Xenopus tropicalis: one gene and its partner. The protein of the gene in region 1 interacts with the protein of each later gene in a biochemical or structural test. Links are inferred from orthologs where the notes say so. Each region holds a gene or a part of one and is shown on either strand. Other genes may lie near its edges.

Evidence for each region.
Region 2: the proteins of stk26 (region 1) and cab39 are reported together in a solved structure, tested with the Homo sapiens proteins (2 studies listed by IntAct, with this or other methods). The link is inferred for Xenopus tropicalis from reciprocal best matches to the Homo sapiens genes STK26 and CAB39.

The regions. Positions count from the first base shown.
Region 1 is NC_030684.2:67,436,435-67,453,054, forward strand, and holds part of stk26 (serine/threonine-protein kinase 26), read left to right. Parts: intron 1-761; coding exon 762-818; intron 819-10,370; coding exon 10,371-10,479; intron 10,480-10,558; coding exon 10,559-10,716; intron 10,717-11,142; coding exon 11,143-11,328; intron 11,329-11,602; coding exon 11,603-11,745; intron 11,746-14,317; coding exon 14,318-14,411; intron 14,412-16,620. UniProt on the Homo sapiens protein: Serine/threonine-protein kinase that acts as a mediator of cell growth. Modulates apoptosis. In association with STK24 negatively regulates Golgi reorientation in polarized cell migration upon RHO activation.
Region 2 is NC_030681.2:127,994,575-128,011,194, reverse strand, and holds the end of cab39 (calcium-binding protein 39), read left to right. Parts: intron 1-2,409; coding exon 2,410-2,628; intron 2,629-4,207; coding exon 4,208-4,372; intron 4,373-4,928; coding exon 4,929-5,047; intron 5,048-5,245; coding exon 5,246-5,414; intron 5,415-6,522; coding exon 6,523-6,582; intron 6,583-7,000; coding exon 7,001-7,066; intron 7,067-7,675; coding exon 7,676-7,819; intron 7,820-8,516; coding exon 8,517-8,705; 3' UTR 8,706-10,904; downstream 10,905-16,620. UniProt on the Homo sapiens protein: Component of a complex that binds and activates STK11/LKB1. In the complex, required to stabilize the interaction between CAB39/MO25 (CAB39/MO25alpha or CAB39L/MO25beta) and STK11/LKB1.

The DNA of each region.
Region 1 (16,620 bases):
CTTGTCGTAGGCAACTAATCTCTCCAAAATGCCATCCCACCGGCGAAAATGTAAATTGCCGGTGGGATGGCATACGCGGTGTCGTGATTTCCCGAAATCGCGGGGGTTTCCTCAAGGCAACTTTCGCGATTTGGGTAAATCGCTGCGCCACATATGCCACCCCACCGGCAATTTACATTTTCGCCAGTGGGATGACATTTTGATGAGATGTCGGAAATTTGTCGCAGGGGACTAATCTCCCCCGTGTGCCACAGCCCAAAGGCTGATGGCAGACACTAAGATTTGTTGCCTGCAGTAAATCTCCCCTACCACAGGCGACTAATCACCTGTTTTCTGCTTCTTTATTATTTATTGGTGTTTCACTCTACCGTACATGCGCACCTGACATGAAGCAGGAAGATCGCTCCATGGTGCTTGCTTAGAAGTACCCCGGTGCAGTGATTAGAATCACTGGAGGGTACATAACATTTTGCACCCTCACCTTTGTGACTTCACCTTTTCCTTCTTTTTTAATTTGTATAATAAATGTTAGTACTGTAGTATCAACATAACATTTTGCACCCCCACCTTTGTGACTTCACCTTTCCTTCTTTTTTAATTTGTATAATAAATGTTAGTACTGTAGTATCAATATTCACTAAGCTGCTGTGATGCTGCTGTGTTTTGTTAATGTTATGATGTGAAGTTGTTTCCAGTAATTTTCATGTAGGGTGTGTTTATTCAGCTTTTCAGTACTAATGTAGTGGTTTATTTCCTTGCAGGGCACTAAACTATGGATCATTATGGAATATTTAGGCGGAGGATCAGCACTAGATCTGGTAAGTTGCTAGCAGCTATAACAAAAGTGTAGTGAGGAAACTACTACTTTCCATACTCCCTTTTAGTTTCCATTGTAAGTATTAACAAATGTCTGATCTGTGACTTCAATTCTAATACAGTTCAATACAAATTAGGTTTTTCCTGCACTCTTGTGTGCCGAATTATTCATTACTGAGCACTGTTTTTCCAACCACCTAGACAAGTTACATAGTTAAGCTGGGTTTAAAGAAAAACAGTCTATCAAGTTCAACCTTTCCAAGTGAACCTCACACACACAAACTTATACTGACCTAGCTATACACTCACATACATTAACTATATATACTAACATCAATTTTAATTGTAGATTTTAGTATCACAGTAGCCTTAGATACTATGCTTGTTCAAGAAATCATTCAAGCCCCTCTTAAAGGCATTAACAGAATCTGCCATCACAACATCACTCGGAAGGACATTCCACAACCTCACTGCCCTCACAGTGGGAGAAACCCCCTATGCTGCTTCAAATGAAAGTCCCGTTCCTCTAATCTAAAGGGGAGGCCTCTGGTGTCCTGGTGGTTTTTATGAGGAAAAAAAGAACCTCTCCTATCTGCCTATAATCCCCTAATGCAGTGCTGTCCAACTGGCGGGCCGCATGCGGCCCTCGACCCCCCCTGGCTGCTTTGATGTTTTACCCTTGTGTAAGATTTAAATGGTATCGGTACTGAGATGAACTGCCCCCCCCCCCCCCCCCTGCATGGTTCTCACCTCAGATTCAGGCTGTAATCTCCCTATATTGTTTAAACATGTAATCGCCTGTACTGTTCACACCTTTTAATCTATGCATTGTTCACCCCCTGTAATCACCCACATTGTTCGTCTGTTCACACCTCAGAGATTGTATGTACTGCCTGGCCTATGCTGCCTGTGTGTAGACAACATAGGGTAGGCAGAGTATGGCACATAGGCAGCATAGGGCAGGGAGGGTATGGCACACACAGGCAGCATATGGCAGACACAGGCATCATAGGGCAGGCAGAGTATGGCACACACAGGTAGCGTAGGCCAGGCAGAGTGCTGCCTGTGTGTGCCATACTCTTTCTACCCTATGCTGCCTGTGGGAGGTGAACCTGGCAGGGGTTTGTTCTGGGAGTTTGTTAGCAGTTGGAAATAGCCATTAAATGGTCCCTAAGGTGTGTAATTATATGCTGGGGGTTGCTGTGCTATCCACAGGGGAGGAGAAGTCATATGGATTTTAGGGTGTGTCTTAATATGACATAATATAATTATTTCACATATGAATGATGGTTGATATCCCTGCAGTGAGGACCAAGCATTTGGGTTTTTTCTGCACTAACACCATTGTGATAAAATGGGTATGGTTTGAAGTGGGTGTGGTTTAAAAGGGGGAAGTGGTCAAAACTGGCTTCCATTAGCGGCCCTCCACCATGTATGCGCGAGTAATTCCGGCCCTTGGCACCGCAGAAGTTGGACAGCACTGCCCTAATGTATTTGTACAAAGTAATCATGTCCCCTTGCAAGTGCCTTTTTTTTTTTTTTTTTTTTTTTTTTTTTGCAACAACCCCACCCTTGACAGTATAACCTCAGTTTAAATCTTCCTTCCCCTTTACTAGTTTAGTTGTATGTCTTTGCACTCTCCATTTAGAGTTGCAACTAATAATTCATCAAAGATAAAAAAAATTAAGGATAATTTAAATGTTAGGTAGAATACTACAATCACATGTAATGGAGAAGTTCCCTTTTAAGTAGTCTCATTAAGGGTATATGATACCATTTCAGCAAATAGGGGTTAACCCTTTCTTGTGACAGTTCAGTAAAAGTTGTTGTTCTTGATGTTAGAGTAATCATGTCCCCTCACAAGCACTTTTTTTTCCAGCGAAAACAACCCCAACCTTGACAGTCTAATCTTATAGTTTAAATCTTCCATCCCCTTTACCAGTTTAGTTGCACGTCTCTGCACTCTCTCCAGCTCATTAATATCCTTCTTAAGGACTGGGGCCCAAAACTGCACTGCATACTCAAAGCCTTACCAGAAAAATGTTCATAAGCATTTCCTAAAAATAGAAACATGCAAAAGTATATAACTGGGCAATCAAATAGCAGGCTGAAATCAGATCTAAGGAGGAATTTCCAGCCAAAACTTGTGGCATACCCCTCTTTATGGTTCATCATACTTTGCATGTACTTTTGATAACTCCAGTTATGAAAGATGCAGCAGCGAATACAGTTTGGTGATATTACAAAGCAGCTTTTCAGCAGCTTCTGATTTCAATGTTTAAAAGCCATCAGCTTGCAGAACATAAGTGTCCTTGTTTCATTGAGGGGAAAAAAGCAGAGCAAAGTCAGCCTTACACTCTTGTTCCACAGGGGTGCTGCCAATTTCTGTAAAGGAAACTGAGTTGAGTTTGTTTACTGGGAGCTCATTTCCGTGGGCATTGCCCAACACACCTGTATTAAATAAAGACTCTTTCATGCTTTTCTGAGTTAAGGTTTTCCTTCCCCTGAAAATGTCATGGCTGTAATTTCCTGCCACACGCGCAGTTACTGGTTACATTAAGCAGTGCATGCATTGAATGTACTTTCTTTTTATGTGTGTACATCATTTATTAGGATCAGGGAAAGCCAACAGTAGTGGCACACATTCCCTTCTTTCCACCTCTTCTCACATTCACCCACAAGTTATAACTTTCAAAGTAATCTTTGGGCAGGTTTGATGTTATTTCTGGGTTTGTATTTTTATCTTGTTAGCAGGGCATTCATCTTGAGTTTTTTTTTTCTAATAAACGATTAAAGACATTAAACTATTTTGTGCACAAAACTAATATAGCCATTTAGCCCAATTTGGGCCACCTCAATATATATGCACAAATACATTGCTAAGACTTTAGGCTATCTGAAGACAATACAATATTAATTGGGAAATTTAGGTGCCAAATAATTTTTATGGTGTAGTTATGATACTCTTCACCTGTTAAAAGAAGAATACATAAAAATAAACTGCTTAACGTTACAAAATCTTTAAAACATTGACAATAATACAGAAAATATGCAGTGTGCCCTTACCCTTAAGGAAGTACGGTGTTTCATTATTGTATGGTAATACACCGATATAGGATCTGTTAACCAGATGTGTGCAACCTGGGGTGACCGGATAAGGAATCTTTCCAAAATTTAGATAACCATACTATAACTCTAAAAAAAAAAAAAAAAAAAATGTAAACATTAAATAACCCCAATAGGATTATTTTGCCACCATTATGGATCCATGCAGCTTAGTTACAGGTATGGGACCTGTTATCCAGAATGCTTGGGACCTGGGGTTTTCCAGATAAAGGGATCTTTCTGTAATTTGGATCTCCATAACTTAGGTCTGCTAAAAATCATTTAAATATTGAGTAAACCCAATAGCATTGTTTGCCTCCAATAAGGACTCATTATACCTTAGTTGGGATCAAGTACAAGGTACTGTTTTATTATTACAGAGAAAAAGGAAATCATTTAAAAAAATTAGAATTATTTGCTTATAATGGAGTCTATGGGGGATGGCCTTTCCGTAATTCAGAACTTTCTGGATAACTGGTTTCTGGATAAGGGATCCCATACCTGTACTATAAAAAAAAAATATAGATATAATTGTTTACTTATAATGAACTCTTCCTGTTATTCTGAGCTTTCTAGATAGTGGGTTTCTGGGTAAGGGATTCTATACATGTATTAGATATTTAGACTTTTTCCAAGGATGAATTTAAAAACTTTTTCCCAGGTATAGTTTTTACATAACTGCATTGCATTCTTTAATTGCACACGTATTCTTTAGGCCAAGGCATCTTTCAGGCTAAAGTCCGCAAATTCTAACATTTATTAACCTTGGATTTGATGACTGTGTGTTCTGTAATTATGTTGGGTTGAAAACCCAAACATACTGTTCTTCGACTTTGGCTTATTCTTCCGCTTCTTCTTCCGCTTCTTCTTATTCTTAGCTCCCCCCATTTTCTAAACGCTACTCCTCCTACAGTTTTAGGGGTACAACACCCAAACTCCCCACACATCTTCGCCCTATAGCGGAGCAGGTTGCTTGTGCTTTTCTAAGCGATCCCGCCCCCCGTCTTTTTGTGGCGCCACTCCGAACCCCCCAATTTTCCCATTGACTTTGACAGGGAAGATTTTCAAACTGCTGCCGCACTTACTGCTTTGAAGCTACACCCCCCAAACTTGAATAACATAATCATGGGGTCACCCCGAATGAAGCAGCAACATTTGTTGGATGACTCCAAAGTGGGAGGGGCCAACAACAGCCAATCAAATTTTAATCATTGACTTTAATGGGGAAATTGAAACTGCTGCCAATGTTACAGCTTTGAGGCTGCGCTCCCCAAATTGAATCACATAGTTATGGGCTCAGCCTGAATGAAAATAATATGATTATTGGATGCCCAAAAGTGGGCGGAGCTGTGAACCGCCAATCAGATTTTACCCATTGATTTGGCGGAAATTCAACCTGCTGCCATTCTCACAGTAATAACACCGGGGTCCCCAAACTTTTCACAGTTGGTCACTAGAGGACTGCAGTTTAAGTTTTTGAAAAGTGGGCTGAGCCACCAACAGCCAATCAAATGTCACCTATTGATTTTTATTGGTTTGATGCCAGATTTTCCAAACTTTGCACAGTCAGTCACTGGGTGACTACACATTCAGGGTTTTTTTTTTTTTGTTTGTTTTTTTTAAACCGCAAAGTGGGAGGGGCCAACAGCCAATCATATTGTACCCATTGACTTTAATGGGGAAATTGAAACTGCTGCCAAACTTACAGCTTTGAGGCTAAACTTGAATCACACCGTCATGGGCTCAGCCTGAATGAAACTTTGCAGAGTTAGGCACCAGGTAAGTGTGGTTCAAGGTAAGAAAAAGTGGGTGGAGCCACCAACAGCCAATCAGAGTTTACCTATTGACTTTCAATGGGGAAATTCAATCTGCTGCCATTCTCACAGAATTAACACCAGGGTCCCCAAACTTTTCACAGTTGGTCACTAGGGGACTGCAATTTTAGTTTTGGAAAGTGGGCGGAGCCACCAACAACCAATCAGATTTCACCTATTAATTTTTATTGGTTTGTTGCCAGGCTTCCCAAACTTTGCATAGTCAGACACTGGGTGACTACGCATTTAAGGTTTTTTGTATTTTTGTAAGTGGGTGGAGCCACCAACAGCCAATCAGATTTTACCTATTGACTCTAAATGGGGAAATTCAACCTGCTGCCAGTCTCACAGTGTTAACACCAGGGTCCCCAAACTTTTCACAGTTGGTCACTAGAGGACTACAGTTTTAGTTTTGAACAAGTGGGCGGGGCCATCAACAGCCAATCAGATTTCACCTATTGAATTTTATTGGTTTGATGCCAGAGTTCGCAAACTTTGCACAGTCAGTCACTTTGTACTCAAGGTTAGAAAAAGTGGGCGGGGCCACCAAAAGCCAATCACATTTCTTTCATTGTTTTCAGTGGGAAAATTTTAACTGCTGCCATTCTCACATGTTTAATGTCAGGGTCCCCAAACTTTGCACAGTTTGTCACTGGGTGACTATGTTCCAAGTTTAGAAAAGTGGGCGGGTCCAACAACAACCAATTAGATTTCACTTATAGACTTCATATGTTTAAATTTAAACTGCGGCCATTCTTTAAATATTAATACTAAGGTCTCCAACCTTTGCAGAGCTAGTCACCTGGTAACTGCAGTTCAGAGTTAGAAAAAGTGGGTGGAGCCAACAACAGCCAATCAGATTTTACCTATTGCTTTTCAATAGGAAATTCAACCTGCTGCCATTCTCACAGTATTAACACCAGGGTCACTAGGGAACTGCATTTTTAGGTTTTAAAAAGTGGGTGGAGCCACCAACAGCCAATCAGACTTCACCTATTGAATTTTTTTCGTTTATATTTAAAATGTTGCTTTGCTCACACTATTTATGTCAGGGTTCCCAAACAAGTGGGAGGAGCCACCAACAGCCAATCCATTTCCACCCATTAGATTTCATTGGTTTATATTTAAACTGATGCCATTATTTAAATATTAATTCCAGGGTTGTTAAAGTTTCCAGAGTTACTCACTGGGTATTTGCCATTCAAAGTTAGAAAAAAAGTGGGCAGAGCCACCAACAGCCAATAACATTTCACCTATTTACTTTCAATGGTGAAGTGTAAAATGCTGTCAGCCTCACAATTTTTATGCCTGAGTCCCCAAAATTTGCAAAGTTGGTCACTGGGGGACTGCAGTTCAAAAATAGGAAAAGTAGGTTGGGCCACTAACATCAGATTTCATCCATTGAATTTTTTTGGTTTAAATTTAAAATGCTGTCATTCTCAAACTATTTATGCCAGGGTGCTCACTGTTTGTCACTGGGTGACTTTGACGCAAGGTTATAAAAAGTGGGCGGAGCCACCAATCACAATTCACCTATTGACTTTTATTGGTTTAAATTTTAATTGCTGCCGTCGTTTAACTATTAATCCTTAGGGCCCCTAAACTTTGCAGAGTTAGTCACTAGTTAACTGCAGTTCCAGGTTAGAAAAAGGGGGTGGAGCTACCAACCGCCAATCAGATGTTGTTGACTTTCAGTACGGAAATTTAGGTTGCTGCCATTCAGACACTATTAAAACCAGGGTCCCCAAACTTTGCACAGTGGTTTTTACTGTATAACTGTGGTCCAAGGTTAGAGAAAGTGGGCGGAGCCCATTCAGTGACTTCATGTTTTTCAACCCAACATGAAGTTTGTTCTCAAACTTCCCTTTCTAGTTTGTAGGCTGTGTTTTTGCTTTACAGTGATAAGCTCCATTTAAATGGTTTTTACTTTCATTAAGAAGTATACTGAATATCCCCTTATGAGACAATCCACTTCTCACTTTCCCAAGTGACACTTGCATATACTTCTGTGGGAAATACAGTCCACATATTTCACTTGAGTCAGATTGCCTGCCCATGGAGCCAAATGGGTGTGTAAGTGCATCAATCCCTGGGGTCCATAACAGCAGTATTCTGCATTTTTACAGACGAAAAGAGCAAAAGACTTGGGGACTTAAAATCGTAGTTCACATTTAAGTTAACTTTTAGTGTCTTATTAAATTTCTTATTATTGGCAACTTTTGAATTGGTCTTCAATTTGTTTGTTTGGTTTTTTTTTTTTGGATTATTTTCCTCCTTTCTCTTGCAAGCTGTCTGATTGGGAGCATTGTCCCTGGCAGCCAAAAACCCATTGCCCTGTGAGGATTCAATTTATTGTTACTGTTTATTACTGATCTCTTTATTCATCTTCCAGTCTGTCATTTAAACCATTGCCTGGCTGCAGTAGTAAATTAAAGACTAGCTTCCATTTCTAAATGGTGCTGTTGTACAAAAAACTACTACTCGTTCCAGCAACAAACTTCAGCAGTAAATCCGCTGACTCTTCAAGTACAACAAAAATATATACTATTTTAAACCTTTAAAAACGTAAAAAAAAATGTGTACTAACTTGTACAATGCAATATACACTGTGTGTTTTTATGTATAGTTACATAGGGTTGGAAAAAGACCAGAGTCCATCAAGTACAACCCTTCCAAGTAAACCCAGCTCACACACACACACACACACACACACCTGTACTGACCTATTTATACACTCGTAAATAAACCATATATACAAACATCAATACTAACCGTAGATTTTAGTATCAAAATAGCCTTGGGTATTATACTTCTTCAAGAACTCATCCAGGCCCCTCTTTAAAGGCATTAACAGAATCTGCCATTACCACATCACTTGGACGGACATTCCCCCAACCTCACTGCCTTCACCATGAAAAACATCTACACTGCTTCAAATGAAAATCCCATTCCTCTAATCTAAAGGGGTGGCCTCTGGTGCGCTGATTGCTATTATGGCAAAAAAGAACACCCCCTATCTGCCAGTAATCATGTCCCTTTGCAAACAACCCCAACCTTAACAGTCTAACCTCATAGCTTAAATCTTTTATCCCCTTTACTAGTTTAGTTTCATGTCTCTGCATTCGCTCCAGCTCATTAATATCCTGGAGCCCAAAACTGCACTACATGCTCAAGGTAAGGTCTTACCAGATAGATGCCTATAAATAAGGCAAAATTATGTTTTCATCCTTTGAATCAATGCCCTTTTTTATGCAAGTATTTTATTTGCTTTAGTAGCCACAGAATGACACTACCTGGAATTAGACAACGTATTATCTACAAAAATTCCCAGATCCTTCTCAATTAAGGATACCCCCAACACACTACCATTTAGTGTATAACTAGCGTTTATATTATTTCTACCAAAGTGCATAAGATGCTGCCAAAATTCTTATTCACACTCTTATTATATCTCACCTGGACTACTGTAACGCTCTGCTAATTGGCCTTCACCTTCAGAGACTGTCCCCTCTCCAGTCCATAATGAATACTGCTGCCAGGCTCATACACCTATCCAAACATTTCTCCTCTGCCATACCACTGCCAATCCCTGCACTGGCTTCCCCTACCATCAAGGATAAAATTCAAACTAATGACTAGGACATTCAAAGCAGTTCATAACTCTGCCCCACCCTACATCTCTGAACTTATCTCTAGATAACAACCAACCTGTTTGTTACTCTCCTCTACTGACCTACTTCTCAACTCCTCCCTCACACTTGCATTTAAGACTTTGCAAGGGCTGCCCCCCTTCTCTGGAATTCGCTCCCACAAACTATCAGACTTACTCCCGATCTCTAAAAACGCATTTATTTAGTGAAGCTTACCCTCATTTAGTTTAACATAACCTCAGTGTGCTGCTACAAGCAACCTGTGCCACACCTCTCCCATTGCTTGATTCTGATCTTGCCCATTCCCACACCTTGTGTTTCAAACCTCTCTCCTTGTAGATTGTAAGCTCTTTTGGGCAGGGCCCTCTTCACCTCTTGTATCCGTTATTGGTTGCTTTATATTTTACTTTGTATGTCAAATGTATGAAACCTACTTATTGTACAGCGCTGCAGAATATGTTGGCGCTTAATAAGTCAATGTTGATATTAATAACTTTGCACACAATATGAACAGCATATGGAACAGGAGTTTGAAATCAGTAAATCACATTTATAAAGGCAGCTGTGCTGGCAAGACACATTGGCAAACCTTATGTACAGTTGCCAGTAAGCCCAATCAGCACTTTGATCCATACAGGCAGAATAATCGTCTCCTTACATTTCAGGTGTGTTGTGTGAATGTGATGGGGAAGCTACAGTGCAAGCTCCACTGAAGCTGAGACTAATTGAAATGATGACCTCTTCAACACTATTTTTATAAATTGAAATAGCCTCATATCATAAGCCAAAACTGGAAAAAAAAAAAAATCAATATAGCAGGGGTGCTGTTCTGGAACTTGTATCCTGGCCCAAGGTTGTAATATGCAGAACATATACACCTTATAATGATTAGCTGCAATTATTTTAATATCAGGGTAAGTTTAACAAACAAACAATATGCATCTTAAGTGTTTTTTATTTCTGCATTGTAATTTTCAACCTTTAGCTTCGTGTTGGTCCTTTTGATGAGTTCCAGATTGCTACCATGCTTAAAGAAATATTAAAAGGCCTTGACTATCTGCACTCTGAGAATAAAATTCACAGGGACATCAAAGGTATGGGAATGTTTGATTTTCCAGTCTGTTGGTTCCCGGTTGTTCCAGTCTGTTCTAAGTAGTGTATTCTATCTTCCAGCTGCCAATGTACTCCTGTCTGAGCAGGGGGATGTCAAGCTCGCAGACTTTGGTGTCGCAGGGCAGCTTACAGACACACAAATAAAAAGAAACACCTTTGTAGGGACACCATTTTGGATGGCTCCAGAGGTCATACAGCAGTCTGCTTATGATTCCAAGGTAAGCTTACTATAAACTTAGGACCAGCTAAAACATTTTCCAAAAATGACGTATTATGGTGTTGATGTTGCACATGATGTGGATTTCAAATTATTGGATTTTCAAGGCAGAATCCACGCCTAACATGTTTATTATTGGCTTTTTTGTGTGAAAACAGCCTAAATACTCACCACATGGGGCCTTTAGTAATGTGATTGTTTGGCCATGATGTTTTAGGCTACAAAATCTAGTGATTCATGCAATAGTCAGATCTTATAACCAAATCTGTTCTTATAACCAGATTAACAGAATATTAATGATTTTATTTCTTGGTACGACAGAAGCCTCAACGAATAACAGCGTGTGTGGGTGCTAACAAACAATAGCATTTTTTCATTGCAGTTAATTTTTCATTGAAGTTAATTTTGTTTCCCATTTATTTTTCAGGCTGATATTTGGTCTCTAGGTATTACAGCAATAGAACTAGCCAAAGGCGAGCCGCCAAATTCTGATATGCACCCCATGAGGGTTTTGTTCCTGATTCCTAAAAATAATCCACCATCCTTAACAGGGGACTTCAGTAAACCATTCAAAGAGTTTGTAGATGCCTGCTTGAACAAGGATCCCAGCTTTGTAAGTATTGTGGCAACGTAAGGGGGTGTGTGAGGCTGATTTGCACATAAAGGCTGCTCCGAGACTTTTTGGATGTTGAATATATAGTGAAACTAACCAGACAACATTTTAACAGAAAAAAAAAAAAAAACCAGTAGTAGGTGTGAATGTTTTTCCCCAGTACTAACCTCACCTGCACTGTAACATCAGTAGTAATCAAATAAAGCAAATATTTTTAGCCCTGGGCATATTAAAAATGAAGTAAAATGACTGTCAATTTTTATTTTGAATCCAGCGTCCCACTGCTAGAGAACTCCTGAAACACAAATATATTGTGAAGAATGCCAAGAGGACATCTTACCTGACTGAGCTTATTGACCGGTTCAAAAGATGGAAAGCAGAAGGGCACAGTGATTCAGGCTCTGATGACTCGGATACGTAAGTGCCTTAATAGAAACTGCTTTATTAAATGGACCTTGTACACCTATGTGCAATATGATCTGTATACTACTAAAATGTATTATGTATTCTCCCTTATTAAAAGGCTATATTTTCTTTTATGTAAGGCATTGTTTTGTTTCTACCCTTAGTACCTACCCCTTAAATCACTGGTTAGGGCCACAGTATATTTCAGCTTACTCTGTTAGCTGCACACAGATGATTGTTTGCCTGAATATATCCTGCAGACGAACAAAAAACATAAGAGTAACTTTATTACTATATTTATATATAGTATTCATAGGACTTGTATCGCCCCACAGAAGCTTAAGGCTATAGGCAAAAAACCCTATTTCCGCTTGTCTGAAATGCCAGTCCCCTGATACTGGGTTCTTCCACCTAATATGGGAGTGCCCCACCATAAACAACTATTGGTCCAAAGTAGTAAAATATATGACTTAGCAAATCCTGTTGCTTTGGATTCTAGCCCGTAAGGTGTGTCTGCTCGGACTTGTCGATGATCTAGCCCCTCTATCATCATAGAAAGCAGTGAATTCTGCATCAGAGTGTTCAGCACAGTAACCTTCAGCTTCTGTGACAAATGTAACCCCATTTTCTGCTAATAGATTTACAACATCTCCCCATGCTTAACTTCTCAGCAGCAGCCCAGAGCAAACTGAGCAAGTGCAGCATAAGATGACCTATAGAAACTCAATCTTTAAAAGGCTTTTTAGGATTTAATTATTCTTTAATAATTCTTGCTGAACTACTACATTTTTGATATACCGTTATTCAAAAAAACAGAACATTAACATTTGATTACCGTTTATACTCCTGTATAAGCCGATCCGAATATAACCCGAGGTACCTAATTTTACCTAAAAAAAACTGGAAAAACTTATTGACTCGAGTATAAGCCTAGGGTGGGAAATGCAGCCGCTACTGCTAAGTTTCAATAATCAAATAAATAATAAAAGAACACTCAGCGTGACCCCCTGTAAACTCTTCATAACTATATCATGTTGGCAGCTGCAGATTAGGGGAAAGGTGATTAGGGAAAGGTGGATGGAGGACCCTTTGAAGGTTTTCATTCATTCATTCAGGCCATAATATATCTATTAGTGGTCATTTTAGTCAACTGGATTAGATGTGTACTTTGTAAAGGCAATTGCTTACAATGAGAGAAGGTGTCAGTATGTGCCAGAGGCTCGTACATTAGGTGCCTTTGAGACTTATTTATAAGTTATGAATAGAGACTTATTCAGCCTGCAGGGACTAGTTTCCTGCCCCATACCTACCGGTAACCCCGCTAGCACCCCATGTCACGAGTCATGTGACCCATTAGTGCCCGGTACTGGCAGGGCTTTCCCAGGTGCATGACACACTGCCCCGACCTTCAACCCCCCTGTGCCAACTTTGTTCTAAGGCAGTGAATGCAGCACAACCCGGACTGGCAGCGTCCCGGCCTTTTCCCAATTCCATTTCACACTGACTCCCCGTTACCTGCGCACAACCCGTCACGGCTCTTCCCTCCCCCATTCTGTCACAGCCACAGGGCGCAAGTTTACAGCAGGAACCCTGTAATGCTCAGCAGCTGCCACCAGAGGGCACCCGTTCCACAGCAAAGCAAAGGGAAATTTTTTTTTCACAAAATACTTTATTGAAAACACAAGAGGCGCAAAGTGACAAAATGCATATGAGAGAGGAGCTAGTTTCCCTGTGCAGTGATTGTTGGGGAATAGGGGGAGGGGGGGTGCGCAACGAATATGAATGCCAGCAATTTACATCTTCAAATCCATATACTCGAGTATAAGCCGAGGGATACTTTTTCAGCACATTTTTGGTGCTGAAAAACTTGGCTTATACTCGAGTATATATGGTAAGTAAAATTATTTTTTGGGAGAGACAAAAATTCTCGCGTTGCTTAAGCTTGAAGGTTTAGTACATGGCTTCAAATAAGCTAAACGGCGCCCACTTGTGTCCTTTTTTAAAAATCAGCTTTGTTTAACAGTGATATAACACTGCTTCGGTTCCTGATACTTTATTCAAGAATTTCTTCAGATAAAAAATCACTTTGTTGGCTTAGCACATACAAAGAATTGCAATAATACTTTTTACCATTTCTGGCTATTTTCAGTTATTTTTTCCATTGGGCAATAGAACAGTGCCAGTGTATGGTTTATGCAGTAGATAATGCATTTATACTTAAAATAAACCAGCTTTCTTTCAGACATGGCAGACCCCTTATCTCGCATGTGTCAAAAACATGGCCCGTGGGCCGAATACTGCCCTTCTGGCTGTTTTTTGTGGCCCCTGGTGACTGTGCAGCACCAATCGACTGTACAGTATTTTAATAAAAAATTTGGCCGGCTACTTAGCTTGTGTTTTAGATTTCGGCCCCCTTGTGTGATTTGAGTTTGACACCCCTGCTTACTGATTCCAACTAAAGAGCTCTGCAACAATTTCTATTTTTTCCACCAGTAAAAGTTGTGTTTGGGTTTAATACGTGTGTTTATGTTGCTCAGAGCATAGCCTGTGGTAACGCATCCTTTTTTTTAATTCTTAAATGCAGAGAATCAAACAACAAAGAAAACCATACCCACCCAGAATGGAGTTTTACTACTGTTCGGAAGAAGCCAGAGTCAAAGACTATGCAGAATGGAACGGTATGTGCTGGGACTATACATACATTTATACCTCAAGAATGCATGGCCATACTGTAAACCACACAGTTCATAGCCAACCGAAAATGTTTTGATTGATAATTTGACTTAAACATTTTCTTGCACATGGTTTACAAGAGGTTTCTCTATTATACCAGTTAGGCCAAAAGGTGATACCACTGAGTGCTCTCTAAACTGGAGAACATGTGCAGATTTAAATCAAGCAGTTGGGACATCCACACATTTGTTACAGGGACAGGGTAACAATGCCATATAGCACAGATGAAAATCACATACAATATAAATATAACCAATAAATAATTGGTTACAAATTAGGGGACAGGTATATGTCACACATCTGTTCAACGTAGTCTAAGTGGCAAGTTATTGTAAATGGATTTAGTCTTTATTTGGTTTTATTAATAGTACAGCAGGCTCCATTTGAGCTGGTCTATTGCAAAGTTACATTAATGGCTACGATATCCTTGCTATGGGTCGTTACCTATTTATCTGTACAAGGTATTATAACCAAACTTAATCTGCGTAAGGACAAAGTGGTGACTTATTTTTGTCCATATTGTAAACCGGATGAAAGAGTTGCATCAAGATGAAGGCTATGCAGAGTAAAACCCATATGGTTGCCCATTCTACCAGGACCCTTTGTGCTTCTTGGTCTTAAAAGTACAACGAAACCGCAGACAGACACGTAAAGCTACCATTCATTATACTTTTTACAGTCATAGTGTTATGCTCCTCAGCACCTATTTACAAAGCTAGTACATTAGTTAAATGCAAAAGTTAGGTCATCCCTTGCCAAATATTTGCAAAGATTAATGCACAGTTATTTGACGCAAACTTTCAAATATATAGCAGCAAAGAATATAGTAATGGTGGGATGTACAAAAGTTTGGACACTCTTCCACTTGTCCAGTGGTAAGTCCCTGACCCTAGTTATATCATTAGGCCTTACTAGCCATTAGCAGTATTCACCTGTTGACAACTGCAAACTTAAATAAAATCTATTACACCTCAAAACTTTGGGCTGTCATTCAGCGGCTATGGGCTCTTCTTAGCAACTGAGGATCAGAAAATGAAGCACATTGATGCCTTCGAAGGAAGAGAAATTTAAAAAAAGGAACATTGCAAAATGCTTGTAGCTCACAACTTCCACTGTCTGTAATGTAATGAAGTAATGGCAGTTGAGGAGATCTATGGAAGTCAAAGAAAGATCAGGAAGACCAAGGAAACTGCTTTTAATTGGAAATATTTGGCAAGGGATGACCTAACTTTTGCATTCAACTAATGTACTAGCTTTGTAAAAAGGTGCTGAGGAGCAAAACACTGTGCCTGTAAAAAGTATAATGAAGAGGTAGCTTTACGTGTCTGTCTGCGGTTTGGTTGTACTTTTAAGACCAAGAAGCACAAAGGGTCCTGGTTGAATGGGCAACCAAATTGTGTGCCATATTAGCTTATATTTGTAAATACACAATGAACATTTGCAGGTGTGGTGTTTTTTTGTAATACTTTAAATTAACCAAATATGTTATCTGGCAAGGATGCCTAAACTTTATGCTTTCAGCTGTAAGTGCTGTTCTTACTCCATTGTCAAGCTTTTCATTTGCTATTGGGATGGCTTTAGAGGTCTCTGCTAGTCCCAATGGAGTAACTATAGAGGAAGCGGACCCTGTGGTCACAGAGGGCCCAGACCAAAGGGTCTCCATCTATACCTGTAAGAAAGACCCTCTCCCCAGCCGCACTCTCACCTACTTGGCAGAACAGTGGGGGAGCAGGGGAAACGGCCGGGAGTGTGGGTGGAGTGGGAGCTGGTTAGGTGCTGACTGGGCCCCTTCAAAGTTTTGTTGTTTTTCCTGGCGTGCCATTGTTACACCACTGGCTAGTCCTTTGGTTTACCCAGTCCATTGTGTATTTACAAATATAATATATAGTTAATATGGCGCATTTACGTTTAGACTGAAAGTGTGCAATGTTGTAAATTTTGCTCAATAAACTTTGGGAATTCTAAGGACCAACATGAAATATAAAATGAAAGGAAGAAGGAGATGATCCTGCTTAGTTTTTAATAAAAACAACATGATTTTATGTTCAACACAAAAAAAGCTCACCTACTTGCCAAGTTGATCTTTCCCTGGAACTATATTTAATAAAATGATACATAAAATCTTTGCATGTTTAGCAGACATTTGTTATAAAA
Region 2 (16,620 bases), on another chromosome or scaffold:
ACTTCTTATCCCTCATCTCTCTCTTCCTAGTCCTCCCATTACTTGTTCTGTTAAGACTGTCATAAAGGCACCACCCAGACAGTTTTGCTGGGGAGCTTTGGGGCTCTAAAGGACTTTTGAAATGAACAGTTGGCAGCTATGCATTCTGCTTTTGTTACAGAGGAGAGAACACTGCCATGTGGGCTAACATATTTAGTTGATGGTGGACTTTTCTGTTTAGTTCTTTTTGCCAATTCCATACTTTTTGTATACCAAATACTTCTAAAAAGATTGGCCTAAATACCTAACTGAATCTAATTCCTAATTTTTAAATCTGAGCAAAATTTAAAAAAAATGCATTATCTCATAAGGAATTGTAGCCATCAGTTGTGTAAAGTTTTATTAAAATGAAATGACTTTAAGGACTGTGGTGCATGGGATGTTTTTTCTCCCACAGAAAAGAAAATGCACCTCTTTATCTGTCATTGCTCCTAATAGCTGCACTGGTGAATGGAAAGTGCCTCTTTCCACTGTCTCCGTTTGTATCAATTTTTCTAGCATTTCGGGTAAACTCATCTACCCGTATACACATCTGGGAGGAAGCCATGTATTGCAAGAGGACATAGGCTTTGGAGATTTGCCAAGTACACTGAGTAGCAACAGCTCTTTACCATGTCTCTTCTGGTTTCTGGTATCAGTTTATCATTAGCACTCGCCAGCAGATGAAGCAGTGTCACAACAATCGCCACTGCATGACATCATGGCTGCAGTGGTCCTTGGCCTCATCCCTAGAGCTTGCACTAATTTTTATTGTCTGCCACTTAAGCCACTGCCTTGGTTGCTAGAGTAAGTGGGATTCTATTAACAATATAAATTCTTAAGGGTGAAGACACACTGAGCTACTAGTAGCAGCTACTTTTTCATGGCTTCTAAACTCCAGAAAATACCCTGCCATAGACAATACTAAGAATTGCATATGCTAAAACACACATAGAGACAATTATCAGTAAATGATCAGCATTTTCTATTTTAGTAGCCACGATAAGTAGCTTCTACTAGTAGCTCCATGTGTCTTCACCCTAAGGGCTGTGGCACACGGGGAGAGTAGTCACCTCGAGAGGAAACTTCTGCGATTTCAGGGGAAATCGCGGCGCTGCGTATGCCATCCCACTCGCCGGTGGTATGGCATTTCGGGGAGATTAGTCGCCCGCGACAAGGGAGATTTGGCGACTAATGTCCCCGTGTGCCAGAGCCCTAAATGTAGAACTGCAGAGGCGTTAAATAATATAAAACCTGAGAGATAAAAAAAAAAGTTGCACATCACACAAATGACACCGTTTGAGTAATATGGAGTGTGAGTTATAAATAAATCATATAAATGTAGCTAAACACCTGATGACGACCCCATACATAAAGTTCACTCTCAGTCTGCTGACCACATCCCGTGATTCACACCCACTAATCACGCGTATATAGGCATTTCAGATTGCGGCAGGCTCATCTCTCTGTCATGCAACTCTTTGTTATGTGTGGGTCTGTGTGTGTGTGTGACAAACCCCTTCCCTTCTATGTCACATGGCTGATGAACCCAGAACTGATTAACCTGCTGTTTTGTACCCTGAAACACAATTACATTTACATCAGGCCAACAGATGAAGCTGTCTGCACTTTCCTTTACTGACTTGCCTCCCTTTAACTAACATGTCATATCATTACTTTTCGATAGCACTACCTAGGAGTGTATTTTTTCAGCGTTCCTGCAGCACTAGGTGTAGAAAATGAAAATTTTGATATGACATGTTACATTTATTTAAAGCTCTATTTGTGAATTTACCTTTAGTTCCCAGGCGTTACATTTCCCAGAATGTTTTAATAATGGGTTATGTTAGAAGCTTCTGGGAATTGTTGTTCTGAAACATGTTGTGACCCATTATCCAAGGGCAGCTATTCGCCTGCATTTTTTCTATACAATTGTTCTTACTACAGGGGAATACCGGTGCTGGCAGAAATTATACAACCTTGCTACCTATTTGTACAAGCTTTGCACCTAAGGAACTGCTATGGAGAGTGGTGTTTATAGCACTGTTTGGCTGGCTATGGCCTTGACAGTGCCATGCCCCTGCAGTGCTAGGTCATGCTCACTCCTTCGGGATAAGGAGTGACGGTGGTTATTGAGATGAGGTTAAAATTGCACCCTGAGCCAGTCTGCATTGAATAAATCCATAATGAACATAATAAATGGAATTATAGTGGTACTTTAAGAAAAATTGCTGATTCAGTAAGGTGTGTGAGAGAGAGGTTCTGATATAAGGTTACCGGATGTAACAGCAAGCCTCCCATCTCCTCAATGACTAATCCCTTTTGTATTCTGGTTGGGAAGAGCCTGCTTGCCTTTATAAATTGCCTTTTCTGTGCTGTCTCATTTTGCAGCTGAGAGGAGGGTTGTTACCCCACACATACAGCTCCCCTGCCCTCCAAACCAATTCCCTTAGACGCCCTACTCCAGGCTCAAATGTCTCACTTGCTGCATACTCTGTCGACGACTTACACATCAGCAGCAGAAGCAAAGATGCAAAGAAACTGGCATGGCCCAAAAGGAGATCATTTGTTTCTGGGAAGCTGAAGATGGACAGAACAGCATTTTGTTCGGTTAATACATGTCCCCTTTCACTGGGCTGTCCTTGTAGAGCCTCTTGGTGGAGGAAACCCTCACTGATGGAGTTACTAACCCTCCCCAGAGGACAATCAACTAATGACACATTAGTATGGAAAGCAGAAACTCCTGCCCTGTTAGGATGGTGGGGTGGCACTGTGTGTGGATCTACCTGTCCTATTTATAATGAACTGAAATGGCTAAAGACACATGGGATTGATTCACAGCAGCAATCTGAATCAATTGGTGAAGCAAAGTGATAGAATTTAATAGTACAGAAGAGCTGTGCAGGAATAATTGCTCTGTAACAGAGCTGTTCTGCTTTTTGCCACTCTGTGTTCAGGCCCCTTGGAGATGCAGCACTAAATGCATGTGATAATTCTCCAACCTATGATTGTACTGGCAGGGTCAGGGCAATTACATTGAAAGTCTATTGAGGAGCAATTGCAAGCAGTTAGGCGCCAGCCTGTCAAATTTTAATCCCATGGGCAGCAGTAAGCTTGCCATTGTGCCATTGCCCAAAATATGATTATATAGTTGATTAAAATTGAACATTCACTTTGCTGTTGAACTGTTTACCTTTTCAAAATTGAGGTTTAAGAATTCAAAAGAGCTAGGTTTTTATGTATTTAAATGTATTTAAATATATATAAATATAAATTACTACATTGATAAGAACTGTGTGTCTGCTTCTGAAGTTTTGATATGGTTTATATAAATAAGCCTCTGTGTAGCCATGGGAGCTGCCATTCAGGATCCAATAAGGCGCTTGGACCCTCATTTTCATACAGATACTCTTTGACCACTACAGTGGCTTTAGAACTTAAATGAGGATCACAATTTAGCTTCCCAGGCCAATTTAACGTGCTGATATTAACAATATATTGATACAAAAACTGCACCGTTATCTGTGCCTTTAGCCACTGATGATCACATAATCATTCTGTGAGGTCTCCACCACTTCTTCCCTTCTGTTGTGCCATGGCTCTGTGTCTTTCTGATTTATATGAGAGTAGCTGTTTAAAAAGACCCCATACTACAGACTGAAAGCCTATCCAGGGCTCATAGTTATCCTGTAGATATAAGCTGGGAAAATGTTGAAGAAGATCTTTACTGTTCAAGCAGTTTGTCCTAACATGGTATTTATGGTATTTGCATTACTCTTGTGCTAAAAAGTTAATGTGTAGCCAGGAGCAGCACATTGTTTAAAAACAAAGCAGCCCAGTGATTAGCTGCAAGTATCTTTAGGGTTTAAGTATGGGCCATAGAAAGGGCTTTTTTTAAACAAACACAAAGGCAAACTTTACTTTGTTTCTGTAACTCATTGCCAATCAGCAGTTAACTAACTGCTTTAATACAGTTACCATATTAATAAAATACATGAACACACAAACAAAATATATAAACCCACAAATGATTGTTAGGTCTATATTGTTAGATTGTTAGGTCTATATTCCTAGCTATAAACCATGTTGCTTAGTTTCTGATACACCTTGTAAATTGGTGCCACAGTACTGACCTGGTCTGTTACGCCTATACAACTTCAAAGTCATTTATTTCTCACCTTTTCCACAGGCAACTGAAGAGGTGTCTAAAAACTTGGTAGCCATGAAGGAAATCCTTTATGGGACAAATGAGAAAGAACCTCAAACAGAGGCAGTGGCACAGTTGGCTCAGGAACTGTACAACAGCGGACTTCTTGGAACTTTAGTTGCTGATCTGCAGCTCATTGACTTTGAGGTAAGCAGCAGCAGCAGTATTTTACATATATACTGTACATACATTCCCTAGCAGTGAATTCTATTTGTCACATCCCATAGAGCCACAGGGCCTCATTTACAGGTCCCACGGGTGCATGTACTGGAGCCCTAAGATGTTCAAAATCTCACCTCTAGGACCTGTCCAACACTTGCAGCCTGCACCTTGCACTGCAAGACACAAAACACATTGCTGTGGGCACAACACAGCTCTGAATTTAAGGCCTGCTATAAGCAGGCCCCTGCTATGTGTTTCTTGCCAACCCATGGCTTGCCTTCTCAATGATGTGCAAGTTTGCAGACTTCTATGGGGATGGCTATGTATCAACTCCTTATGAATAGAGCAGTGCTGTGTTCTTTGGAGTGACACAGGAGTTTGCTCTTCAGAGAGGAGCCTATGGGCAATAACAGTATGGCATGGTGCATAGTTAAAAGCAGCACAGCCGTTTGTGCCTGTTTTTTACACTTTTGCATTCTGCCCCATACTTAGTAAATGAGGCTTTCATGCTACAGAATAAATTACCAACTTTTCATTTCAGGGCAAGAAAGACGTGGCACAAATCTTTAACAATATCTTACGGAGGCAAATTGGAACAAGAACCCCTACAGTGGAATATATATGCACCCAGCAGAACATACTCTTCATGCTCTTAAAAGGGTATGTCCTGTGCCTTTTTTTCAGCTGGCAGTCAGTGAGTTTACTATAAATGTGCTTGGCGTTAGCAGGCGGCAGGGTGGTGGGTGTTAAGGAAATTATTAATTATTATTATTTAGTCTTATTCTTTCCATCATGCCTTTGACCTATTTATCAATATATTGAAAGGTAATGTGTAACACTCTTCTATTATGTTCCCAGGTATGAGTCACCAGAGATTGCATTAAATTGTGGAATTATGTTGCGGGAATGCATTCGACATGAACCACTTGCCAAGATTATCCTTTGGTCAGAGCCATTTTATGACTTCTTCCGATATGTTGAAATGTCCACTTTTGACATAGCTTCTGACGCTTTTGCCACCTTTAAGGTAAATACTTTACTGTGCAGGTTTGCAACCAGCCACTGCACGACTGCCTTTAGCTGCTTTAGCTGAGGCCAGCTATATTTCTAAAAGGAGAAGGAAAGGTCAAATCACTGGGGGATGCCAAAATATTAGGCGAGTGTTCCTCTTCGGTCTTCTTCACGCTGGCTGCATATGCACAGTAGAGTGAAAAGCTGAACTTTAACAAAAAAAAGTCTGCTTTTTGACTCTAATATCAGCACCAGCCTGGGGTATCAGGTAGGTTATTACTATCAATGGGGGTGCCTTACATTTGGCACCCCCAGTGATTTTAACTTTCCTTCTCCTTTTAGTCTTGTTGTGGCAGTCATCTCGGTCTCTGTAAAGTTAAATATGTGACAAAGGCATCAGGGGAAAAGAGAAAAATAGGCTGAGCTGAATAGTGGAAAGAGTCCAACACTGAGCCCTATCTGTTTTCCACTTCATCCTTGATGCCTTTGCCACATACTTGACTTTATTTGTTCACCCTTGATGTGTTTTTGATTGTGGTATAATTCTCTTGCAGCATTGCTTAATACACACACAATTACCAACCAGCCCTTATCATTTTTTTTTTAAAAACTATTTGTCCATTTGTTTCACTGCTGACAGGCATCCTAATAGATACATTTCCCTACCAAGGCATCTTATCGGTGTTAATCTGTTCTGTAACTAGGATTTGCTATTCTTTTTGCTAATTTAGCATTGCTTTGAATTCCCTCCTGTTATACTTCTCCCTCTTCTTTCCATTATATAGTGTCGGTGCTTATGCTTAGCCCAGAAGGTCAGCACTTCTCAGGCCTTTGCATGGTACCTCTCTGTGCCTGGCGACAAGCTACTTGCCTTTATCTTTGATCTATGTAGCTCTTCAAATGAACCTTCCAAATCCTTTGCTAGTCTATGAAGGTTAATTATTAACATATCCTAATGCTTTAACCCTACAATCCACACAAAACGACAAAGTGTTGTACATTGCACCCTCTGTTTTGGTTAAAGTGAGCAGCTGTCTCTTTTCTATTTTAATTTAACTTCTAAATTCCAAGTACATGTGTTTAATTGTGATATATAACCGTAAGCTTGTTTTTTTTCCCCCCAGGATTTACTTACAAGACACAAGCTCCTGAGTGCCGAGTTCCTTGAGCAGCATTATGACCGGGTAGGTTGTGAAGCACCCTCATACTACCAATAATGTAATAACAGGTTCAAAGTTGGTTCCAGGCCTTGTAACCCGTAGCAACAAATCAGAATTTTACTTTCAAACAGGTAGTAAATGCTACTTTCTTATTTGTTGCTAAAACTGGAAAACTTTTTTAAAAGGTTTAATAAACTGGCTTAATATGCTGAGTACCATAGAAAGCTGTCAGCATTTATTTATTTTCTTCCTGTTATTGGGTGTGTATTAGTAGATCTATCACAATTAGAACAGATCATTCTAAATAGATTAAGGCAAAGTGATTCACTAGTTGATAAAATAAATTCAAAAATTGTTATGGTTTAAATAGAAGCAAATACTACCTCAGGTACAAGTTACCTGCTCTTTGGGCTGACTCTGACCTTTAAAATCTCATCCTTAGTTTTTCAGTGAATATGAAAAGTTACTACACTCAGAAAACTACGTGACAAAACGGCAGTCGTTGAAGGTATGTATGTGTGTAAGGCAGGTATGTATGAAAGGTATGTATGTGTGTAAGGCAGGCATGTATGTATGTGTGTAAGGCAGGTATGTATGTATGTATGATTAAGTGCTGGGTAAGCATGAAACGCATAAGGCATTGCATGTAAGGGGTTGTTGCTGTTTTTTAATGGCCTAAAATAAATGTGAAATATGTTTTTATCAATTATGAGTGGTATATGAGCCTATATAATTGTGCCTAGTTGCTTTACCCTCTATTGGTCACCAGGGGGAGTTTTCTCTATACCACTTTTCATTACGTAAGCCCATACTTTTTAGTTCTGGGGATCCTCGGTTTCGTCTGTGTTATATGCAGCACTCTGACAAGCCATTTAATGTCTAATAGATAATAGGGTGAATAAATTGGCTTTGACTTTGTATCTTGCTACCGTGTTTTTGATTCCTATAATGCGCTTTTGCTGCAATCCAATGGCTTTGTACCTTCAGCAACTCTAAAATTAACTCCTTTACCCAACCTTTACCCAACCTATTATTTAATTGTGTTTATTCCTGACATTTTTATCCCTCTCTGTTAATTTTGGACTAGTTGCTCACTTTATTCCTGCTCTGATTGCAGCTGCTCGGGGAGCTTCTTTTGGACCGGCACAACTTCACCATTATGACAAAGTACATCAGCAAACCAGAAAACCTCAAGTTAATGATGAATCTTCTGCGTGATAAGAGCCGCAACATTCAGTTTGAGGCTTTCCATGTGTTTAAGGTACTTTCATTTTTTCCCTTTTTCTGAAATAAACTGTACCCTCTCCCGCACTCACCTTACGCACCTTTCTATCATGGCAGCCACTCCTCCTCTTGGTTTTCTGCGCCCCCATACTCTTTTCAGATACTTCCAATGCTCATTTTCCCTCTTTAGCTTTCTGTAAGCTTTTCTCTCCCATTGCTACTTTTCTCACATTCTACATATCTTTTCAAAAGTTTTTTTGCCTTAAAATGTTACCCTTTGAACTCTGACATTCTCGTCTAGTAATTCCTAATAACATAATGTGGATCTTCATAAAATGTTGAATTTGGAGCTTTCTGGATAACGAATCCCATACCTGTATTACCCAGCAGATATTTTGAATGCATAATAGGTTTGAAAGGACATTATTATCTCTCTTATTTTGCATAGTTATCCTTATCCCTGCCGCTAGTAACAGTTTTATACAGGTCTAGGTGTAGCCGGACCCACCTTTCTATAGCTTTAGCTCTACAATACAGGCTATAGCGACCATAAAATATGTCAGCATAGATATATTCTTTAACACAGTTTATCAGGAAAATATATCTGCGCTTTATTGAAGTACAAGGTTTGACTCAAACAATATGCATATGTGTATTACAGGCAAAGTAAGGAATTTTGTCAGATATTTTCAGTATTACTGAGAGGTCATTTTTTTCCCCCCCAACTTGTACAGGTGTTTGTAGCCAACCCTAATAAGACCCAGCCAGTTTTGGATATCCTTTTAAAGAACCAGAGCAAGCTCATTGAATTTCTGAGCAAGTTCCAGAATGACCGTACTGAAGACGAGCAGTTTAACGATGAGAAAACCTACCTAGTGAAACAGATCCGTGACCTGAAGAGACCTGCACAGCAAGAGGCCTGAGATGGACGGAACGAGGGAGGGGTGGGAAGGGAACACAAACCCAGTGCTGGCTATGAAAGTAATCAGCATCCCGTGGACTTTGCAACGCAGTATCTTCACTTTAACCCCTGAACGGTTTCATCTTTATTCTGCTTCTTCCAATTTGGTTTTGAAATAGTAGTCCAGGAGTAACCTCTTCCTTGCTGGAAGAAACCAGGCGGTGCACGTGCTTCCAGCCGCAGAGAGGTTAAAGGATGAATGCATAACTCCCTTTTAGTTCTTTCTATTATCCCATTGCGCATTTATAGCACAAGATGGAATGAGTTGCCATCTTCTCTTCTTCGTTGCATCAGCACGCGATAAGCATTGGCTCCTTCTTGGAGAAGTGGGTGGGGAAGTGAAACAAACTAAGCAAAGGAGATCTGCTGGTCTCTGGCAAGTATATAACTACTAGTCTGGGTTTATACATCTAGCGTTTTTTTTTTTTTTTTCGTATTTTTTTTTTTTTTTTTTTTTTTTTAATAATACAAGGCGTCGCATGCAGAATAACAGCAAAATACAAAAATCTGGTGTCCATCAGCATATTTGCACATAAACTTGTTAGAGAAACCGAGCACAACGTGCGATCTGTGCATAGCTGGTACCTTATGCCTTGATCTCAAACAGAGACAACTAGTAAGTGCAAGAGTGCAGAGCTTTTAATCCATTCTAAAGCTGAGTAGAGCCCACTGCCAGCCAATAGTGGGAAGTTTGTGTGTTTTAACTCAGTACGTGCTGGAAAATACTCTCAACACATTGCAAAATGTGTGTTGCTGACTGCTTTGGCACCCGAGAAGTTAAAATTGTGAATTGGGGGTAATATTTCAACAGGGTTTGTGTACAAACGAGTGTATATTCATTATATATGCCTTTCAACTGCTTTCTTGCTTTCTTTGATGTTTTAGCAGGTATGTAAGACAGAATTACAGAAAAGCAGCATATTATGTCCTTAGGGGGGAAATGTTCTTGTTTCCTGCAAGAGCCAATTTATTTTAGCAAGTGCTGAGTATTTTCCCACCCTTTTGGCTAATAACCCTGCCATGTTTTGTTTTTTTTTTTGTTTTTTTAAATCAGTAACCTCAACTCAATAACGTGAAACCACTTATTACATGCTATGTGACACCTAAGTGGTTGCTGTGGGCTCTTCTAGCCTTGTGTCCTTCATTGGTTTGCTGTAGTTGCATAAAACTAATATATTCTCTTACACAGTTGCCCATTATCAGTCAGAGCCAATGAGATGGGGCACTGGTGCGAAAAACTGCTAAAGACCAATTGAAACGTACTCGGTTAGGGGGCACCCAGAAACAAGTTATTTCAGTGGCATCTCCACTCTCAGGTTCTTGAACATAAAATGCTGTTTTATATCTAAAACACCTTGCAAAAGAAGGTGATCTCATTGGTTTGGGTAGGAAGTGGTAAGATGGAGGCAAATGTCTATTTATTGCTTCACCCTGGGCCTACAGCTTGGTTTGGGACACACAAGATCATCTGAGTAGATAACCCTCAGGCATGATACATGTGTATGCAGTGTGTAACATGAGCAGTTATTCCTGCATGTGTGATTGTGTGGCCTTTGCAGAATATATGTAATGCAGGGGGTCATGTTGGTTCATTGGGGCGTGTATGAGCTTCCTGGGATGTTTGGGTATAAGAATGGCAGCATGCTGTAATGCAGTGAGTGTGTTGTAGAGTAGGCTACATGGCAGGGTAGTTCAGTAAAATTACATACTCCTCATTTAATATACATATATATGTTTTTATTACAATTGTATTCACAGTGTCATTGCTCTTGGAAAAAGACAGAGGCCACAATCTTTACTTTTTGATTTATGTTTTAAAATTCACAGCTGAGGAGTGAGAATCAGGATCCCATACAGGTCACCATTGTTTTGTTTCCCCCCATACACACACAACTTATTTATTGCACGAGGGGTTTTCTGCCTGGGTGCATGTGGCTTGGACAGTGCATGTGGTTTGGTTCCCCATCAAATAACTTTCCTCTCTCGGGCTCGGTTATTTGATGGACTTGTACCCCCCAGAAGATGCTGAAACCAAAGCCTTGGGTGAAGGGATAAATGCTGTGCTTCTAGCAAGATTGCGTCAGTTTCCTTTGGAATTTCTGTGTACATAACGTTTTTGGCCTCTTATTCGTAAAGAAAAAAAAATAAACTGTACAGCAAACAAGCATTGTCATGTTTTTATTCACGTGATTTGCTGCACCAGTAATGGTGTGTGCTGTGAGATATGTGTCTGTATAAAGCAGGGATCCCCAACCTTTTTTTACTTGTAAGCCACATGCAAATGTAAAAAGTGTTGGGGAGCCACACAAGCATGAACCAGGTGTTTGGGGGTGCCAGATTGGCTATTTGGTAGCCCCATGGGGACTGCTGGCCTGCAGGAGGCTTGGAGTAAAACTGTGTCTCTCGGCTTCCAAAACTTTAAATTTTTTTTTTTTTTTTTTAACTTTGTTTTTATTTTGATTCATCATACATATCATTTACAATGTTTGCTGTCATTTTTATCTTGTATTCGTAAACAGTAAGTGTTAGTAAATCATATCTGATTTAACATTTTTTGTAGGTTAGAACTTTAACTTTAACTTTCGGCTCATACCTTGTTTTTCCCAGGCCTTGCAAAAACTTTAAATTTAATAATGGGCACCTACTTCCACATCGCAACAAATCTCCCTTGTGGCGCAACTAATCTCCCCGCAATGCCATCCCGTCGGCTAGAATGTAAATCACCATTGGGATGGCCTATGCAGTGCCGCGATTTACCGAAGTTGCCTTGAGAGGAAACTTTGGCGACTACAGCAAATTACGGTGCTGTGTAGGCCATCCCACCGGCGATTTACATTCTAGCTGGTGGGATGGCATTTCGGGAAGACTAGTCGCCCGCAACAACGGAGATTTGTTGTGGCGCGACTAATCTCCCCGTGTGTCACAGCCCTAAAACTGGTGTGTTTGCTTTAGAAACAATACTATAGTTTATATAAACAAAGCTGATCTGTAGCTGTGGGGGATGCCATTCAAAGAAGAAAGGACTCAGGTTACTTAGCAGATAAGCTCTGTAGAATATAATTGTATTATACAGAGCTTATCTGTTATCTGCTCTTTAACCTCTTCTATCAGTTTTCCATGCAGTGCAGCAGTAACCTATGTTTTAGTTATTTTAGAACACTTTCATTACTTTGCATTACTGTTAATTAAGCTTTTAAAGTATAAGTAAGGCCTAATACACAGGGAAGGGGAAATTTTTTAGGCCCCTCCCAATGTAGTAATTGCCTAACTTTTTTCCCCAGTCTGGTGCTAGTCTTATCTGGAGTTCGCACAAAACTCTTGCGCCATAGTGGACTTGCACATGTGGAGTATAATAAAGGTAGAAACATTATCTGCACTGCGATCCTTGGGGAAAGACCAGCAGACAGGTGTGGTGCTTATATAGAAAGAACCCCAGGGTGGTGTATTTTTTTTTTTTTTGCCAAGGTTCTAACTGACACACAGGGAAGGCACCATACAGATTAGTATCAAGGGAATACACACGCAATAACTCATTTATACACACATAGGCAACAGAAGATGTTTTTGTTTGGGGGCAGCCATGAATAGGAGCCAAAAATGGTAAACCACACCTACTTTAAGGACATACATCCAGCTGTCCAAACAACACTAAAGGCAGAATAATAGATTATAGAGTGGTTGATATGTTTGGGTTATTAGGCCTGGGGCATATTCTGCATGTTGCTACATTCCCAACACTGCAGTAAAGTATATCTGATAGATGATGGAAGCTGTAGGTGACATATGTAACATCCCTATCATTGATTGATATTAATTGTTATCCTCAAAAGGACCTCGGAGGTTTGGTGGTTTGTAAAAGTTTGACTCGTATACGTTTCTCCCACAAGGCAACAATATCTTGTTTATATTATCGAAGCATTACTGCTAGACAGACAACTGGCGTACAGTCAACTCCAGCACATTATAATGTGAAATGAAAGGACAATTCCATTACCATCCAACCATAAAACATATATATACAGTATACATACAGTGAATACATATAAAATGGAAGGTAGATTCAAGTAAGTTATACAGTGATAAGCGATTGGTACTGGCACCCCAAATACATCACAAACTCTGGCTACTAGAACCCAAAGCACTTTATATACAAAGCTAGGCTATGGGTAGTAGCAACACCCAATGGCACCCAAGTACCTTATATACAGAGAGAAGCTGTGGGTACTGGCAGTTGGTGCTCTTCTATGTGACCTAAAACACTGTGTATCTGAAATCATTATTACTGAGTAAATGTGAGTTTACAATGATGGGACTCATGCATCAATGTGCCAGGGGGGAAGGGGTTCTGCACGTGGTTAAGTGGCAAATGTGGGCCCACTGGGGTTCTGTGATGCAGTTGGGGGGCATAAGTTGTCTCTTAACTAGCTGCACCTGTGGCTAACACTCCATGCTACTGTAGGGCCAGTGATTGTTGTTGTCAGTATAGTCATAAGTCTCTAGTGGGGATATTTGTGATTTACAGATTAAAAAGTTTAATTCCCAGGTATCAGCTACTTTTACGTTTATTTTTGACTTTTATGGATATATATTTTTCAGCCAGCAGAAGAGAGATTTTTATTTATGTAGCAATAAAAATTTATTTTTAATACTTTTAGACTGTAGTAAGCTCTCTTTATATATATATATATATATATATATATTTACTACTTGGGAGTCTGTCAAGGAATGCTGGGATTTGCAATTTAAGAGATAGAGCCCGAAACTAATTGCTATTATATTTTATTCTGACAAAGATTTATAAAGTGCCAACATATGCCACAGAGCTGTATATCTAATGATATATAATAATCAATGGCATTAGACACATGGGGGCCCATTTACAAAAATCCAATTTTTGGGGGGCATAAAACACGATAATTTCTGATGTTCTAAAATCTCAAAAAAATGCTTTATCGGTCGTACGAAAAATATCGTAATTGCCTTCTCTAAGTCCCGATATTTTTGTACCAAAAAGTTCATTAAACAACGAAAACCTACCTGGCTTTGAAGCCTTCAATGCCTGGTTTTGGAAGCCTTCCATAGGACTCAATGGCCCTCGACAGATCCAACCTGGCAATAGTCCTGATGAAAGTTTAACAAGAAATGTTTGTATGGGTTATATGGGTTAATGCTCAGGTGCAAATTTGCCCACTCTTTATAAATGATACTGTAGGCAAAATTCAGCTTGCAAGTGACTGTAGCACCCACAGGGTTGCCTTTTTCCACCATGACACCATGGACTACCTCAGCTATGACCCCAATCAGTGTTCCCTTTTATTCCTTCTCGACTATGTGTGCAAAATAATTCTTTTATGCTCAAATTTAAAACTTATGTGCCCATTTTTAAAAACTGTGTGCTCAGGTCAGAATACCGGCAAAATTTGGGGTTTCGTTTGTGGTCACCACAATTTATTGTGTACAGCAGTAATCCCCAACCAGTGGCTCAGGGGCAACATGTTGCTCCCCAACCCCTTGGATGTTGCTCTCAGTGCCCCCAAACCAGGGAGTTATTTGTGAATTCCTGAGTTGTTGGTAAGTTTTGGTTGAATAAAAACAAGATTTCCTACCAAATAAAGCCTCCTGTAAGCTGATAGTGTGCATAGAGGCTGCCTAATAGCCAATCTTAGCCCTTATTGGGCTCCTCCATGAACTTTTATGGTGCTTGTGTTGCTCCCCAAGTCTTTTTACATTTGACTGTGGCTCACGAGTAAGAAAGGTTGGGGACCCCTGATATACACACACAGCTTACAGGGAACATTGCCCCCAGCTTATCCTCAGACAACACAGTCCATTCAACATTTAAATCAATCTCCAGGCCCAGGAAACTGAGGCAAGTTACTGGACTTTTATTGGAGGTCAAAAGGTTGTCAAATTCTAAAGTTCTAAAAATAGGCATATGAAACTGAGAAGATTCAGATCTTTATCTGCACTTAAACTTGTAATTACGTTGAATTTCTCAGTGCCAACACCAGTTCAATCCCCTCTTGGAGGTCCAACCATTGGTCAGACTCATAACACTTGTACAGATATGGCAAAAAAAGTGTCCATTTATAAAATACTTTTGTGATGATTTAGTAGACGTTTCATTTCTTAAGATGTTTCACACAAATTAAGTCATTTTATGACCTTTCTTGCAACCAAATAACTTTGTAAAACCACGCTTAACTGCTTTGTTTCTCACGCTATAAATCAAAGGGTTTAATATAGGTGTCCCAAATAAAAAGATGACATGGAGTATTCTGTCTCTATCTAAAGAATAAGTTGATTTTGGCCTTAAATATAAGAATCCAAGAAATGCATATTCAACAGCAACAACACTAATGTGCGAGGAACATGTGGAAAAAGCCTTAAGGTGCCCCTTGCTTGTGTTTATTTTTAGTATAGCGGCTATTATATACATATAGGATGTAAGGACTAGAAGGAAATTGATAGAAACCACAGCAAGACCAATGCCAAATGTCAAAATTTCAACAATCGCATGCATTGTTACACCTGGACAAGTCAAGTGTAATACCTGCCCAATATCACAAAAAAAATGATCAATTTCAAAAGAGGTACAAAATGGAAGGGAGAATACTGATAATACTATCACAGTCGCCAGCACGCAGCTTAAAATCGAAACAGCGGCAACCATCAGTATTCAGACTGTCCATGTCATGACTCTTCTATAGCACAGTGGGTTACATATAGCAACATAGCGATCATAAGCCATGACTGTAATAAGAACTATCTGAGCTATCCCGAAGATAGCAATACAGAACATCTGAGCGGCACAGCTGGAAAAAGTAATGGAGTGCTTAGGGTTCAGCAGGCTGGCAAGGGTTTGGGGCACAACACTTGATGTATAACAGATATCTAAAAAGGAGAGGTTGAATATTAAAAAATACATTGGAATGTGGAGGTGAGAGTCAGACTTAATCAACAGCATCATCAGACCATTCCAAACCAGGATTAGCAAGTATATGAACAAAAACACATTGAAGAGCATGGCTGGGGCTCTTGTGGAGCTTAGGAATGCACGGAAGAAAAATTCTTCTGATGTTTGGTTACCATTTTCCATGGACGTTCCTACAGTGATAAACAAACAGACAAAATATAAAGTCTTGTATATATTATACACCAGGTCAGTGTGGTAAAAATGCACAATGCAAACTCCTAGCCACAAGTGCCATCATGGACAGCAGCGCTGCTGTGTGCAAGGCCATAGGGCAGGAGGTAAGTACCAGGCTGCTTTGCACCTTGTATGATGTCCAAGGTGACAGGCAGGGGATAGGAAAGTGAATGTCTATGTGCCTCCTCTGTCCATATGTCCATACAGTGCTGATCAGATTAATTAAACATTTAGAGAAACATCTAATGAATACATTTTGCAGGGAGGCACTGATTGTATTTTAATTAAACTGTAATCAGTTCAGCCCTGCTAGCTGGAATTTCTAGATATGTCCTTGAATTTTCAAGTGATCTGGTCACCCTGAATCAGGGCCAGAACTAGGGGTAGGCAGAATATGGGCTTCCTGCCCTGCTGTTAGTAAATGTCTCAGTGTGTCCCACTTGCTAGCATAATGCAGAATCTATTTATAAATGCTGGGTTACATTTATAGTATATACATGAGTATCAGGTACTATAAATAGTGGGAGGGAAATTAATGGGAAAAAAAGTGTTAGTGTTGTTTTTAATTTAAAAATAATATAGTTACTTTTTGCGCTTGCTTAGATATCTCTCCTTCCTTCCTTAAGAAAGCGGCAATTCTCTCATGGCCTCTGGCTTTAATTCTTACTATCCTTATCATACAGATGTCAGATCATAGTGCTCAGAGATCCCATCTGAAAGCCATAGT